Linked DNA regions of Arabidopsis thaliana. The protein of the gene in region 3 interacts with the protein of the main gene of each other region in a pairwise test. Each region holds a gene or a part of one and is shown on either strand. Other genes may lie near its edges.

Evidence for each region.
Region 1: the proteins of AT5G03050 (region 3) and AT3G08780 interact in a two-hybrid assay, tested with the Arabidopsis thaliana proteins (one large-scale study listed by BioGRID).
Region 2: the proteins of AT5G03050 (region 3) and AT3G47675 interact in a two-hybrid assay, tested with the Arabidopsis thaliana proteins (one large-scale study listed by BioGRID).

The regions. Positions count from the first base shown.
Region 1 is NC_003074.8:2,664,788-2,670,009, reverse strand, and holds AT3G08780 (BRISC complex subunit Abro1-like protein), read left to right. Parts: upstream 1-2,449; 5' UTR 2,450-2,557; coding exon 2,558-3,448; coding exon of another isoform or gene 3,449-3,496; exon of another isoform or gene 3,497-3,583; coding exon 3,584-3,634; 3' UTR 3,635-3,947; downstream 3,948-5,222. Other genes in the region: AT3G08790 (ENTH/VHS/GAT family protein), read right to left, coding at 1-68, 288-452, 551-636, 733-814, 899-1,044, 1,145-1,258, 1,350-1,448, 1,680-1,758 and 1 more.
Region 2 is NC_003074.8:17,574,729-17,579,381, reverse strand, and holds AT3G47675 (ternary complex factor MIP1 leucine-zipper protein), read left to right. Parts: upstream 1-2,514; 5' UTR 2,515-2,547; intron 2,548-2,626; 5' UTR 2,627-2,844; coding exon 2,845-2,919; intron 2,920-2,984; coding exon 2,985-3,104; intron 3,105-3,185; coding exon 3,186-3,281; 3' UTR 3,282-3,378; downstream 3,379-4,653. Other genes in the region: AT3G47680 (DNA binding protein), read left to right, coding at 991-1,899; AT3G47670 (Plant invertase/pectin methylesterase inhibitor superfamily protein), read left to right, coding at 3,533-4,363; AT3G47660 (Regulator of chromosome condensation (RCC1) family protein), read right to left, coding at 4,577-4,636.
Region 3 is NC_003076.8:711,736-718,606, forward strand, and holds AT5G03050 (knotted 1-binding protein), read right to left. Parts: upstream 4,613-6,871; 5' UTR 4,486-4,612; intron 4,254-4,485; 5' UTR 4,249-4,253; coding exon 4,186-4,248; intron 4,098-4,185; coding exon 3,948-4,097; intron 3,872-3,947; coding exon 3,798-3,871; intron 3,703-3,797; coding exon 3,567-3,702; 3' UTR 3,566-3,566; exon of another isoform or gene 2,308-3,565; intron 2,287-2,307; 3' UTR 1,492-2,286; downstream 1-1,491. Other genes in the region: iqd2 (IQ-domain 2), read right to left, coding at 1-55, 208-534, 612-671; AT5G03060 (striatin-like protein), read right to left, coding at 4,987-5,228, 5,307-5,943; IMPA-9 (importin alpha), read right to left, coding at 6,733-6,871.

The DNA.
Region 1 (5,222 bases), on a different chromosome or scaffold from region 3:
CACCACTTAGAAGGTCTATTTTTGGACCATTGGTTGTATAAGCCACAACACTACCATTTTTGGTCTCACTGCAAAAGAAGTTCAAAAATATTTTAGAGTGTAAAAGGCCAATCTTTTTAATCTTTCAACCTTCAATCCTTAACCACTAAACCAATGCCTATACATCAAAATATAACACACAATACAACAACAAAATAATTCTTAAGTTTTTACACAATTTAGTCAAGAACCCAAAGATATTTCAAAATAAAACATTTAATAACTAGAAGTCTAGAACTGTTTCTTACCTTGAACCAACATCTATGATTTGAGTTGTGTCCTTAGGAACTTCTTTTTTAGATTTTTCTTCTTTTTTAATCATACTGTTTCCAGAGGCGATGGCTTCGTGCTTTGCAAGTAATCGCTGCAAATCGTCATTTAAGGCTAGGCCTTGGCAAAGCATAGATTCATCTCTGACACATGAACCAAAACGTGTATAAAGAACATATATTCGTCAAAATTGTTTAGAGTTTCAAAACAAATTTTGCAGGTAAAAGTTTCAGATCTTTACGATGTCGAGTTTACAAGGTGCACTACTCTTTGTTTATAGGTGCGACATTGGCTAACAAGATCTACAACAACCTCTTGTTTAAGTCCCTGCAAAGGTGAAAAGAAAATACATTCATTTGGTAGATTCAATGTTAACGAAAAATGTTATATGAATTTTCAGAATCTAGGTGTTAAAAGATATACCTCTTTGTTGTTTCCATCTATTGCGTTCATCATTTCAGCTAAGACATCCATAATTCCTCTTGCGTTTTGAATTTCTGTCAAACTTCAACCAAAAAAATGCTATTTGATCAAATCTTTTTATGTTGAATATTCCTAGAAAATAATGAGCAATAATTAAGATAGACACCTCAGAGTTGGAAATTCTGACTCTGTTGAAGTATCAATAGCTTCTTGTCTAGCGTTACGAGAATTCTGAGGATACCTTGTCGAAGGACCATTTTGTCCTGAACTGGGTGTGATTTGAGGTCTTTGAGGGAATACAATTCCTGCACGCTGAAAACAGATAAAAGAAATTAAACGAAATACTAACATTCAAACCATATCTCCATCGGTTCGATTAAAATGGACATGTCACAGCAAAAATGAAACATACCAACAATTCTTGGTATGCTGCGTAATATTGTGGATGTCTTCCTTGTGGACCTGAAAAGCTCTCTTGCCAAGTATCTATAAGTATCAATATCTTCTCCTTCACTTGGATGTTAGGCTATAAGTTTAACAAACAACATGATAAGTTAGGTGTCACACAAAACTATTGTTATAGATTAAACAATCGTTTAAAAGAAACATAGCCTGACCTTCCTTTTGGCCATCTTCACCATCTTATGAAGTATATCCTTCTCTGCAACTTGCATATGAATAAGTTCTCCACAATTGGTTATTATTGTCTCTAGTAACTACAAAGTAACAAAACCAAAATATGTTAATCTTCTCATAAATAAATTTTTAAAAAGGAAGAAAATAAAAGTAAATATCTGAATACTATTGGTTGTGTACATATCATACTGAAGTGAAGTTTGGTATTAATAATGTAAGAACATCTCATTCTATGCAAAACCGAAACTGAATCCAAAATCAAACCAAACCAAACCAAAACATGAATATCAAGCCCTGGTAGTAGAACTTACTGTAAGAGCCAGAAGCTGAACCTTGGAAGTTCTACTAGTAAGCCTCTTCTTTATGCCACTCACTACCTCTCTCGTTTGCCTACAAACACACACTCACATATCATTAGAAAAGTGGAATAAAACCAAAAAAAAAAACATCAAAACCAAATCTGAACCATCCGAGTCTTCAGTGATCAACACAAATGTAGTATAACCGAGATCAACAAAATTACCATTGATTCTCTTTAGGAAATCACAATGTCAACAATTACCATTTTTCCTTTAGAACATTGATTCGTATTGATCACCTAGAGCATTGGACCAAGGATTTTACAGTCATTCAAATACATTTTAGTGAAAAAGGTCTTACCCAGGCTCATGATTAAGCATGTCACATATCTCGAGGTTCATGGCCCAGTCAGGACCAATGAGCATATCGCTTGTAGCTCTATCAACCAAAGGATGCACCATCTTCTTGGTTTTTTCCTCTGTCCTTCAAAAAACTCTGAGCTAAGAAGTGTTGTTTTCTTCCTTGTAGTCTGTAAAAAGATATTTTGCTCTCTTCTTAATTTGCAACTAAGAAACAACATGGCGACACTTGTAAGCACCGTTGCTAGTTGCTGCTACATCAATGCAGAAGATTAAGGAACTAATTGACCTTTCATATTTCCCTTTTAAAATGTTTTTCTGTTTGATTGGGCTTTAAGGTGAATAACGGGCCTCGAGTGTGGACATTTATGCCCATTTTCTTTCACAAAAACGACACGCTAACTACTCGTTAGAACACGAAACGCCACGTCGTCCTAATGTGCTGATACAATTTTTATCTCGTTTTTATTTGCACAGAGAGAGATTTCAGTGACGTCACATCTTTTCCTTTTGGTGTTCTTCTCGTCGCCATGGACGATCTCTCTCTAGAGAAAATCGAGATTTCGGGTCCAACATTGGCGTCACTGATTCAACGAGCTTCATCTTCTCCCAGTGACGTCGATGGCTTGATCTTCGGCCAAATCCACCGAATCGTCTCTTCTAATCTATCCGACGATTCTCCGGCGGATATCGCCTCGAGTTCCTCCTCATCTGATCAAATTGTCGCCACCGTTACAAGCTTTATCTGCTCTGGTAAAACTGTCTCCTTCTACGATCCGCTTGGCCGAGTTGACTCGCGTCGAATCGATTCCCTCCGAGTCGACTCACCGGACCACCTAATTGGGTGGTTCTCCGCCCGCAGGAAAACCGCTAACCGTCCATCAATGAGAGAGTTAGCCGTCACGTCGTCTCTCTCGTCTCAATTTCACTTACCAATCGAGGATTTGCAAAACCCTAGATCGATGAACATGGCTTCATCCGTGTTCTTTCTTCTTACTATGCCATTGACGGATCAGTGCATTCACACGCACGAGTACCGTGCGTACCAGTTCCGATCCTCGAAACAACGGCTCGAACCTAGATCCGTTGGTATAGTCAACATTGGACCAGCGTTTCGAGGCCATTACGGTTCGTTTAGTCCGAAATCGGGATTTCCACCGTTGATCTGCGAGTTGAGTAGCTCAGCCATGAGCGTGGATTGCGATGAGAGTTCCTTGAGTGCGAAGAAACAATCAGCGAAAGATCAGAAGGAGATCGATGCGTTAGCAGAGGGGTTTCAAGTTGGAGAGTTGAAACGTTTGGTTGGAGCTGAAGCTGCGAATTACACAGGCGGGATTGAAGAAATGTATGAGAGAATGCTGGCGAAGATCGAGAGCTTGGCTTCTGATGTTGAGAAGAGCTCGGCTAGGGTATTTCAACAGGTACAAAACCATCTTCAAAATTCGATGTTATTGCTATTCAAGAATTAAAGTGGTTTTGTTGTTCATGTTATTGATTGTTGTCTAGCAAAATGTTACTGAATTGTACCAATACAACATCTTCAATGGTTCTTCCAGGAAAAGCATAATAGGAAGTTGAGAAACCGAGTAGCCAGAATCGGGAGATGAGGCTTCTTTTGAATTTCTTTAAGGTTTTTTATCGAGTCTATATACTTGGAATTCAATCCAAGAGAACACTGGCTAGTAGTGGCTAGCGCAATCGGAACTATATGCGGGAAACGATTTGTATTATAGTTTAGCGATTTCCTAGTTAAACCTTTCCTGGCTAGATTGATTTGTCACAAGAGATCCCTTTTCCTTGTATGGCTAGTTTTTGTTTGAAGAGAAACAATCAAGAATGGGATTGATTCATGTCAAGAGTTTCTATAATTGGGCGTATAATATATGTTTATGAAGTTTAATACTAAGCTAATTAGTTGCATACATATTGATACCAATTACCAAATGGTAGAGCAGAAATACCCCGACATGACTAGAGATAGGAAAAATGATATCACCAGAAGAATGAATACCTTTGAGAAAATTGATATATGATATTGAAGTTCTGATCAACAGTCATTATAATTTGTATAGACGTTTAACTTTGTAAGGACTTTGGAATTGATTAAGATGGGAACTTTTATTGTCGACATGAATGGTATGACACTGAGGCAGAATGTTCAAGGAGGGTAAATGTTACTATAAATACCATGTGAATGTGTATAGTATAGTAACATTATTCAATTGATCTCGAATTTTATTGACTTAATTTTTGATTCAAGAGTTGTAAAAGTTGGATACAGCCCGTTGGAATGATTTAATAATACAAGCTACAGAATTTGGAATCAAACCGAATACATGTTTCTTCTGAATCAGGTTTTTGGTTAAGGATCGGCTAAACCGAACAAAATTGGGACCACGGCTCAAATTACTTGATGGAAACCAACCAAAACGGTTTCTCAACGATCAATTTCACACCACAGCTCTTAGTACTCGAAGATGCTCCTTCATATTTGTGCTATCTTAACTACTTGTAACAACAAAACGTACCAACCGCACACTTCATTAATCTCTTTATCTAGAGCGTCAATGCACTATGAGCAGCGATACAACTCAATATCCATCGCCTAAAAATTGTCATTATTTTTCCTTTTGTCGACGTTGATATTGACATATATATTACTACACACATGGGTTAAACACTATCCAAATATATGTAGATGAGAACTGAAATCCTTTTTATTTGTCAAAGCAGTTTTAAAACTTTGAATTTTATAATCAGGCATTAAATCATACACTACTGAATTAAACAGCATTTCAAACCAGTAAGAAATTAAATACTATCCAAATTCCTATCTTAATCTATTAGTCTTTTTCTTTTCTTTAACAACTCTTCTCATTGTAGTTGGTATCAGTGTTTAATTTAGTAGGCCTTTTTTATTGATTAAGAGATGAATTTGGATAGTTAAAGAAGAAAAAATGTAATTAAAAAGAAATAATATTGTTAGATACAATGCAGTTGAATCCGGAGGGTTGGATCTTAATTGGCTGAAGGTAAACATTAAATTCTTCCACAACTAACTAACAGTAACACTCGTGTCCTAGCAATCACTCTTCCTCAACTACCAATCTCAAACTCTTTCCATCTATAAATAACCTCTCTATTTTCTAACCCTAACCATAACACAAATACACCAAAAAAAAAAAAACAGAAAGT
Region 2 (4,653 bases), on a different chromosome or scaffold from region 3:
CGAATTGAGAGAGTTGCAAGTCATAATTACTTGTTTGAGCCGCTATTATCATCATCTGCATGATAAATGGTACAAATCTGTGTTATTTCTCTTTGTTTTCAGTTGTAGATAGTAAATTAGGGTTTATATTTGTTTCAGAAATTAGGGGTTTTCACAATTGGGAATTGATGATAGGAAAATTAGTTCTCATAGGTTGCTGTCCAATTCTCTGTTCTCATGGAGTTGTCTTTTCCAACGAATCTGTATTTTTTTTTGTTACAATTTTATTTTGTCTTGTCTTCCTTTGATTGCTGCTATTTCTTGGGATTTGCCGTCGTTTGCCGTTCGTAGAACTAGGATTTTGTCGTTGGATTTGTTTGCAATTTTGTTTATTAGTACACTCAGATTTAATTTTATCAATTTGCTTACAGATTTATTTTGATTGATTACAGTTTTATGTTGGTTAAGTACATATATGTTTGCTTGTTATCGTAAATTTATCTTATGTTTGATTGCAGATTTGTTTTGTATTTGATTACAGACTTGTTTTGTATTTGATTGTAGATTTATTGTGTCTTACGTTCATGACATAACACTTGTTTTTGTTATGCTGTTTTTGTTGAGGTTAAATGGAGAAGTGGATACAGTTGCTAGAATGATTGATGTCTGTTGTGTAAGAATTGGATACAATTACCGAATGGAAGGCTCATAGAAGGTAAAACAATCTTAACCTTATATCTTTGAACCTCTGACTTTTCATGAATTATATTAGATGACTATATATGGCTTTTATTGAATGCTTGTTGTCGGTATGTGGTTGATACTTGGTAGTTGATTGTCATGTCACACTTAAAACAGACACCATTAACTTTTAAACACCAACCAGATATTATTACCAGACACTATTAACTCTTGTTCTTGTTATTTAAACACCTAACCAGAAACACACTAGAAACACACACCAAAAACAATCTTTCCCGCTCCTTCTTACACCAACCAGAGAACTAGTCTATGGATCCATATAGTCATGGATCAAGCTTCATGAACCTCTTAACTAGTCAACAAGAGGCTCACAATTTAGAAACCAATCCGTATGATGATGATGTTTCTCCAAACCAAGCTGCACACACACCTAAGGTGAAAAGAGAGAGAAGGAAATGGTCTGCCGGTGAAGACTTGGTGCTTGTCAGTGCTTGGCTCAACACAAGTAAAGATGCAGTAATAGGCAATGAACAAAAGGGTTATGCCTTTTGGTCACGTATTGCTGCCTATTACGGAGCAAGTCCAAAGCTCAACGGTGTGGAAAAGAGAGAGACAGGTCACATAAAGCAGAGGTGGACTAAGATCAATGAAGGTGTAGGCAAGTTTGTAGGGAGCTATGAAGCTGCAACAAAGCAGAAATCTAGTGGACAGAATGACGATGATGTCGTTGCATTAGCACATGAAATCTACAACAGCGAACATGGTAAGTTCACCCTTGAGCATGCTTGGAGAGTGCTTCGCTTTGAACAGAAATGGCTCTCTGCTCCTTCTACTAAAGCAACTGTAATGTCCAAAAGAAGAAAGTCTGACAAGGCTTCAACCTCCCAGCCACAAACCCATGAAGCAGAAGAAGCAATGTCTCGTCCTATTGGTGTTAAAGCTGCAAAGGCGAAAGCAAAAAAGGCTGTGAGTAAGACAACAACTGTGGAAGACAAAGGGAATGTGATGTTGGAGATTCAGTCTATTTGGGAGATAAAGCAGAAGGATTGGGAGCTAAGGCAGAAGGATCGAGAGCAAGAGAAGGAGGATTTTGAAAAGCAAGAAAGATTATCAAGGACCAAATTGCTGGAATCTCTCTTCACAAAAAAAGAGCCACTTACTGATATAGAAGTGGCTCTCAAGAACAAATTAATCAATGAGATGTTGTCAAACTCATAGTTTCAATTCACTCTCTGTTGCAACATTTTAGTTTCATGTGTCATAATTTAGTCTTCTTTTTGTTTTTGTTATTTCATCTTTGTAATGCTTGAGCATGTTAATCAGTTTTTAAAATGAATGAATTCGGTTTAACTTATGCTAGCTTTGAGTTTTCCTTTTTGTTTAAGTATTCCTCCTGTAAGTTTATAAGTAAAGCTTCTAGCGATTGATAGTATGACAGCTCTTCTTTCATGTTTAGTCTAATTTATATTTCCTTGCTGATCATTGTCATGTCATTCTTGTTCCCTTGGTGACCTTAGTAACAGAAACTAGTCAGTCTTCTTTCCAAGGTACAATAAACAGAAATTGAAGTATGTTTTTATTGTTTTGTGATCCTTGTTAATTCACATTCACCACAATCATATATTTCCTCTGCAACAGCTAGACTAAAGGATGGATTACAAGAACACACAAAGACATGGCTTCTTTTATGGCTGAACTGCTTTAACACTGGTAAGAAACTATCTCTCAATATCCTAAATCGATTATGTTGATAGAAAAACAATTATGTCTGCACTGTGAATGTTCTTATAGGTCCCAGTAATAAGCAATGCTCTTGGTGGAATTCTTGTTGGCCTAGTTACATCACATGCCGGTGGTAGAAGAAAGGTAAAACAAACAAACCCTCCCAATCTGATTTTACACGATCAAAAGCTGAGACATGTAATATCTTTACATCATTTTGCAGAGATTCTCTTTTTATCAGAATCTGATCCGCCGTTATTCCGGCAAGTCTCATGTGACTTACATTATCTCTTCTTAACAACTTCAAGTGACCAAAAAACAAAAGTCAATAACTGTTTTAGTACTCCGAACCGACCCTTTTAATGGCTCCCACGTTTCACTCTAATCATTATCTTTCTCTACTTAGACCCGTTTCCTTCTTCTTATGTTTCTCTGAAACTCATGAAATTTGAGGAACTACTCATGGAAGATTCATCACAGCTACATAGTAACAAGAGACATGACTTAGAGGAAGGAGTAAGCACCTCTGTTCCTAACTCAAAATCTCTATACCAATAATTTGAATGTTTGTGTTTATGCAGGTGATGCATCTTAAAGAGAGACTAGAGGAAGAAGAAGCAGTGACTAGAACTTTACGAGCTGCTTTTGATGGCTCTATTGTTTCTCTCCCAAGTCTCTCCTCATTGTTTCTTCCACCTCAGGCAATACCAATAGACATAATCACACATAATGTTAATTATTTCTTAATGATCAAACAATGATGAGATTTTATTGTTCAACAGTTTTCTGAGCTCTTTCAAGAATTAGCCATCGTGGAGGCAGAGATTCTTTGTCTAGACAGAAAAATCAAGGAGCAAGCATCTTGTGTAGTTGCCTAGTTGGAAGTCCTCAATAATTTGAATTGTATTATAAACATTTTGTGTAATTGCTTGTATTATAAGACATTGTTTTGGAATAATTTAAATTTTTGTTTCTTAAGAACCCAATAGTTCCTAATCATTGGAGTGGAAATTAGTTAAGTTTTTTTCTAACTTTTCTTAACTTAGTAAAAACAACATTTTAATTTAAAATAAGGCTAAGATTGAAAATTAAGAACCAATTGGTTCTAAACCATTGGGATTGCTCTTAAATGCAACAAAGCTTCACATTTCAACTTCTTCCTGTTGACTTTTTCTCTCCCAAAATCACAGATTCATCTTCTTCAAATTTCCTTCGATCAAAAAACCATTACCCTTCAATGGAATCAATCAACACCTTGAAAGGCTACGACAAAGTATCCGACCAAGAAAACCAAATCCATCATCATCATCATTCTCCACTTCCAAAACCATCATCATTTTCCCGTAAAACCCTAATCGCCACCGGCTCCGTCGTATCTCTCCTCTTAATCCTCTCCGTCGTCGCTTTAACCGCCGGAGCTTTCACTCACTCTCCTCCACACCATCCACCTATCTCCTCCGCCTCTCTCAAGTCACTATGCTCCGTGACTCGTTACCCAGAGACCTGTTTCAACTCTCTATCATCTTCTCTCAACGAATCTGATTCAAAGCTTAACCCTGAATCAATCCTCGAGCTTTCTCTTCGAGTCGCTGCTAAAGAGATCTCAAACCTCTCTATCTCTTTCCGATCAATCAACGATATGCCTGAGGACGCGGCGGTTGGTGATTGTGTGAAGCTTTACACCGACGCGTTGAGTCAACTCAACGATTCGATTACAGAGATCGAGAGAAAGAAGAAGAAAGGTGGGAATAATTGGTTGACGGAAGAAGTCGTCGGAGATGTTAAGACTTGGATCAGCGCCGCCATGACTGACGGTGAGACTTGTTCCGATGGAATTGAAGAAATGGGAACAATTGTGGGTAATGAGATCAAGAAAAAGATGGAGATGGCTAATCAGATGATGAGTATTAGTTTGGCCATTGTTAGTCAAATGAAGAAGCTTTTGTTGATATTTCACTAAACCAATCATAAAGGTTGGAACTTTTTTCTTATTTCTCTGTTTTGTCAATTTCGAATTCATAAATGTGTGTATGTGTTGTGAGCTTTCCTTTGTAAGTAACTACTACATTGATTTGTTTTCGGTATGTAATTTTGATAAAAGAGAAATCTTTTCTTCTTGTATTTTACATTCTATTCACTTACTTTGATCAAATTATAGTTCAAAAGGTTTATATCAAAACGAGTTTCGGTGTCTCCTTGTCTTGTCTACTTCTTTCTTGGTTGTGTTCATCAACTGTATGAAGAGAATAA
Region 3 (6,871 bases):
CCATCAATAACTTAAGTCTGACCAAACCCCTCATTGCCCGCAACGCTCTCCTTGCCTGTATTTCAGATATTACACAAAATAAGATTATACTCAACAAAGCAGCTTCCTTCACACAAAATCAAGTGCCTCGGTCAAACTCATACGAAATTCCGAAGGAATTAAGTTTCTGCAGATAATAAAGCCAATTGCAAGAGTAGAATTACATACCAAATAACCTCTAAATATAGTCTGGATCAAGATAGCAGCGGCTTCTTCGTTTGACTTTCCAGCAAATCGAGTAGGTGTAGCGCGACGAACAACACCAGGAGCAGATGAAGATGGAACTACAGGAACATCAGTAGCTGTAACATTCACAGCATCTGCTGTAGAAGGAGGTGAAAGATCCCTGTTCCGTTCAACAATCACTTCAGCTACTCTCACTTCACGAGGAGCAAGAGCAGGAGGAGGAGAAGAAGAAGATTGTCTAACATTATCCACAACAGGAGGATTAGAGATAACACCATTTTGTCCCTCAGCCAATTTTTGCTTCGACTTCTGAAAACACATCAACATGTCAATATATACAGACTATAACATTAAGTCACATCAATATACAAAAAAAAAAACTTCACCTTTGAATCTGGGCTGAATGCTTTCTTAACACTTGAAAACCATTTAGCTTTTTTCCCCATCTCTATGTAATCCTTCACAGAGAAGAAACAAATTATTCCACAAGGAAACTGAATCTACTGATCTCAGTAGCTAAATTACGACAGATCTCGAAATCTAGAGCTAAAATTCACCAATTGATACTGAATCAGGGAGAGAATGAATCGTACCTATGAGAAGACAGTGACACCAGATCTGATAGACGAAAAAGCTTGAAGATAAAACCTGGAGGAGTCAACTAAACCACAACGCGGCTTCTAAGTAGTGACCTTATCGGAGAAGACGAAAAAGCTTAAGAATCGAATCGATTGGATCTTTGCTGAGGTGCGAAGATAACTTTTCTTCTTCGAATTGCTTTCACATTATCATAATTGCAAATGGAGAAGAGAGAGAGAGGAGAAGACAGATGGATTCAAAGCTGTGTGAAGAAGAGTATTTGTGACGGTGTGTGTTTGTGCGTGATGCCACTTAATTGGGCCTCTTTTGTGGGCCCCATTCTACTCTTCTTTTTTTCCTTTTCTTCTTCTTAATTTACCAACTTCGTCTCTCTTTTACTCTATTCTTTTCACTTTTTTTTTTTAGTGATGAGTTTTATTTCTTAAGTTTCATAAACACTGTTTTGTTAATTTTTCTTTTTATAGTATAGTATCTTTAGATTTATTATTATTTGGTGCATTTCAAAAATAGTATACATAGTTGACATGGTATATTGGTGTTTTCTCTAAAAATGTTTGAAATTTTCTTAAAATATGGATAACGTGTAAACTGGAAAATGTATTGGATTTTGTACCTTTTTTGAAACTAGATAATTTAATGAACAAGTTATGAGGATCGATAAAACAGTGACCATATAAATTTTAAATTAATTTATAACTTTATCCGGTAAGATTGGTCTTTAATTTCACCTAATAAAACAAAATTGTTGCAATAAAAAGTTTTTATTCGTCTTTAATTTTTGTCTTTAGGCGGGTTAAAATATAACACTATATTTTTGCCGTTAAATATCTGTTATTAATCGAATTAAGATTTAAGATCGTATTTTTTGTCGTCAAATACCAATTGTTTATCGAATTAATTCATCTGCATAATCCGTATAAAGTATGTGTGTTTTAATACACGCTTACATTACTACAACCGACAAAACATGTGAACAAAATATGTCCACCAGTGAGACAGCCTTTATCATTTTAAAATATACTCGTTAACAAGCCACCATATACGATACTTAATACTTTCTGGATTTGATAAATCATGAAAATTAGTTGGTCATTGTACTTGTACACCATATCATATTTTATGTTCAGATCCACCCACACTACTAAGTTAATCTCCGATGGATGAACAAAGAAAATATTTGACTCATAATACCTAGTGACACAAACCATAAATAATGCTTTGGAAAAACTCGTTTTATGCAACAGCTATTAGCAGACTGTATTTTGCTCTATGATCGTGTATATCCACCACAAAAGCAATTTCCCAAATTATATGGATTGACATACAGTGAACTAGAACGATGATTGAAAGAGTATATAATTTTTGTCCACTGGATTAAGTATTATCTGCCTGAAATCATTGACTTTTTTCGGAGATAAACCCAAAAGGTTCCTTATCGGTGGCCAGCTTGTACCAGTCTTCCTGTAATTTTTGTGGTTAAGAAAAAAAAAAAAAAAAAAAAAAAGCATATATATGTCCAATCACTCCATGTGGCGTCTTCTCTGTTTCGTTAGTATAACATCCCTAAAATTATTTTCATATAAAATAAGTGAGAACTAGCCGTTGGAATTTGATAATTTATTTTAGCTAATCATATGTCCAACATATCAAAGTCCTATGTATAACTGTTTATATAAAGATATGCCTCTGATAACTTATAATATTAATAGGTATCTGTATATCCAAAGTCGGTAGTTGAATTGGGGATATGGACATTCCACCTAATGTATAATTCAAACTTTGTCGTTGCCAATAAAATAAAAAATAATTATAAGCTATTATGAAAATTTCTCTCCCCGTCGGTCAACTTTGAGTTGGTCTTTGCATTCTAGCAAGTGAAATTTATAAGTTAATTAAACCGGGGGAAAAAAAAGATAACTAAACCAAAATTGAACCGAAAAATCCATTTGGCATTATCTGAAATGTAAGTGGGGCATGGAAATAAGGTCAGGGCCGTTAGCGTTTTAAAGATATTTAGATGAGCCAGTGAGTTTGGTAACGACCCGACATTTAAGTCTTGTCGTTTTGTAACAGAGCAACGGTAGAAGATTCCTATATTGGCTAACACCTAAACCTGAACCCATGATAACGCCATACCTTTTTCTTCCCAGTGAATTTAATTGAATTAACAGTTTACAACTTCATATATAGATTAGTCCATGTCCATCTATATCACCTCAGAGAATTTAATTTCACCACTATTCAACTTTTGTTACTACTTCAGTTCATCTATTTTTTCAGTTAAACATACACATTTAAAATAATATTTATAGTTATAAGAAAACAATTTTATAATAATATTTTTTAAAAGATAGGGTTACGTTCAGCATGAGAGTTTTTGGGAGATTGAGTTGAAACAAGAACTGAGAAAAACATTTAAGAATTGCAAAAGAGAATGAAGAGTTACTGGTTTTTGATCGAACTAGAGATATGAGTCATTTTCTATATTCACTCCAAAATCTAATAAAGAAGCAAACACAATTCTGGTTTTAATTAGCTGAGAAAGGTTCATGATAAGCTATTTCTATGTTTCCTTCAAAACATCATAAAGTTTTTGAAACTGAAGAAATCTAAATTCTCAAACCAACCATATGTTGATCTAAAGTTATATATATGACTTCTTACACCACTGGACGACAGAAGATAATCTATTCTTAGTAATGGCTGATAGTACTTCTTGATAGGGTTTTAGACTGTTTACCTCATTGCTCAATGCTAGGATTCTGAATCAGATAGCGAGCGTTGTGTAAGAGGGAAGTAGTCTCCTCGTTTGATGCATCAAGCAAACGCAACTCCTTGATCTCGTCCTGCCATTTCTCAACATGTTCCTTGTGTATCCTGTTTCATAAATGTGAACAGTGTTACACATGTGAGTGTATAAACATCTCAATCATGGTACATACAGAAACATTATAGAATCTCTTCAAACTCACATGATCAAGCGTTCTTCGAATTCGTTACTGAGTTCCTTGAGCATTGTTTTCCCTGTTTCCAGCAAGTTAGAAACCTACCACAAGAAGCATCAATCAATATCAGATTCTTCCTAAACTTAAGCAATCAGGGAAATGATAAGAGCAGCTTACAGTTTGTGTGAAGCTCTCAATCTTATCGAGAATTTGCGCAATGCTAAGTTCCATCTCATCAGAAGCAACAAGTTTCGTCTCAGCTTCTTCATTCTCAATGGTATGATCAAGGCTAATTCCATCTCTCGAATCTCCTTTTCCCTCTTCATCCTAACAAATTTCACAGGACAAAATCAAAAATCTGATCCACCACAAAATCATCATCACCAGATCAACGACAAATTCAAAAAAAACTTACAGATGCTCTCATGCGTTTCCGAAATCCTCCATTCCCTGCGTCTTCTTCCATTTCAGTGTTCATCAAAACTGCAGTAATTTAAAACGATGCTCATGAACGCATAAACAGATTAAGAATTAAGTTTTCTACTCGATGCGATTGAATCCACTAGCTAAAGCATCGCAGCAGATTCCGATTTCAAAATCTAAAAACCGTACGATTACATCCCCAACAATCTAGCTTAGGATTCTACAATAGAACGGAAGAAACTAGATCGAGATCGACGAAAAAACCTCCGAAAGAGATTAACAGAGAACTTACGCGATGAAGATCGAAGAAATTGCTCAGTACGAATTGGAGAGAAGAAGATGAAGAAGTTTTAGAGAGAGTCCAGTGAGTGTAGAGAATGAGGAAGAAAAGCCAATTTGTTTATTCCGAGAATCCATTTAAATAAGCGTTTAGATTTAAGACTTATTTTATTTTATTGTCTCTGTTTCATAATCATCACTAATTAAGTAATTATGCTTATACAATGCTATTGGCGTTTTAAGTATGGAGGAGTGACTCAAGAATCAAAGCGATTTAGATGCGATTTGATATTAAGCCGAGTAATCCAAACATTTTACAAAAAACATACAGCCAAAATATTCACCTAATCAGATACTAATCGTTTTTTTTATCTATCTCGTCCAAAAAATGTTACAACCTCCGGGACAAAACAAAAAACAATAAACCGGAGGATCGATAAGATATACCTTAAACTAGCTTAACTTAAGAGTGAGCAACTTCTTCTGGCTCAGTGATCACTGCATCGAGAAAGGTTCAAGACTTGTTATAAATATCCCGGGACCTTTTAAAGGGAAGCTCAACGAATACATGTTCAACTGATGATGATGATGATGATGACGACGATGATGACAATAGACGATTTACTTTTGATGAGCTTGGTCCAGCTGATTGTTGTTCTTGTTTTACATCAACAGAATTTTCAGAGATTATGTTACTCTCTCTTGGATGAGGATTATCATTTTCAGCATCACTCTCGTCAAGGATCACAATCGTATCTGCACACAACAGAAAATATTCAAATAAATTTTCTTACAAGAGAGGTTCACCAACATATCAAGAACATACATACATACCTGTTGGAGTGTTATTCACATTATGATCATCCACCATAATAACCTCATTCTTGATAGTCACATTATAATCCTCCACCACAATAACCTCATTTTCGAAAGCCACATCGCTACTCCCTAGACCGGCGAGATTCTCAGCATCAAAAAGCGATTTCAAGAATGAACATTGTGATTCAGCCGCATCAAATCTCTCTTTCAATTCAGCATACTTGTTCTCCATCTTCTTCAGCTTCTCCACTTCTTCCTCTTTCGCAATCAAAAGCTCCTGATTCTTAACACTCAAATCATTGATAATGGCCTCTTTCTCACTGATCATTCCCTTCATCTCCTTCATATACTCCTCTTTCTCACTTCTCTCTTTCTCTAAATCCTTAAGCAAGCTTAGAATTTTCTCCTCGAGTTCCTTAATTTGCTTCTGATATTGAAACTTCATTATCTCGTTCATTTCATTCATCTGCTTAAAACTTTCCTCTATACTTTTGTAATCTTTTTCCAGATTCTCATAATTCTCCTTGAGAATTTCATGTTTTGTCGCCAAAATCTCCTCCTGAACAACCAAATTTCTTCTTGTCGGAGTAGCCACCGACGAGATTTTGTTCTTCCCCGATTTGTTTGAACGAGCTGATGATTTTCCAGTCATGACGTCGAAACCCTAACCCTGGATATCAACACAAACAGCGGTCAAGCTTTTACTAGAGCTTCTTTATCTTTGCCAAATTTACAAAATTTCACAGATTTCTAAAGAAACCCTAAAACTCAAATTCGTTCTAAGCTCCACCGGAAGAAGAACGGGGAAACTAACACTAGCGGATCTTTAAACCAAAATGTACAACGGAAGAAGAAGAAGAATCTTACCCAGAAAATCTTTTGAATCTTCTTCTTCTTCAAACGACCAGAAGAGAGAAAGAGCTAGCTACTGGAAAATGAAAGTAGCTACAGAGAAGGGAAAAAGCAAATCCCTAGAAACAGAGAAAATGAAGCGGGAATACGAAAGGACAACATATTCATGATCAAGTTAATAATTGAATCTTTGTTTAGTGTTAAATTGAACTTAATCCAAATTTTTGTTCTCTTCCCATTCATGTCCTCAAACAAGTAAAATCATTTACTTTAGTTTAGCTTAGATTAAAAAGATAATTCGATATTCAAATAAAATACCACCGTATCTAAAAATCATAATTACATTGACAGTGTATCTTATAATTGGATTTGAAGTGACAAGGAGGATACGACAAAAAGGAATCAAACCTTCGGTGAGACAAAACTGTATTACAAGTAGTTACAACAACAACCCAAAAGACAAAACCTAAAGACTATTGTCTTTCTCTCTCACTCACTATCGTTACAAGCAAACGCTAAGATGACTAGTTTCCTTTTGATTTCATCATCCGACTTTCTTTGTATTCTCACCCTAAAATCCGAGGCGATTTCATTCATCGATTCCATAATCTTCACCAAAGTATTTATCCACAAGACTGTTCGCCATGACTCTCAGCTCTTCGTTCTCATGAAACTGAAACCGTTCCATTGCATCGATACCGTCTTCTCCTTCCACAAGCTTTGGCCCT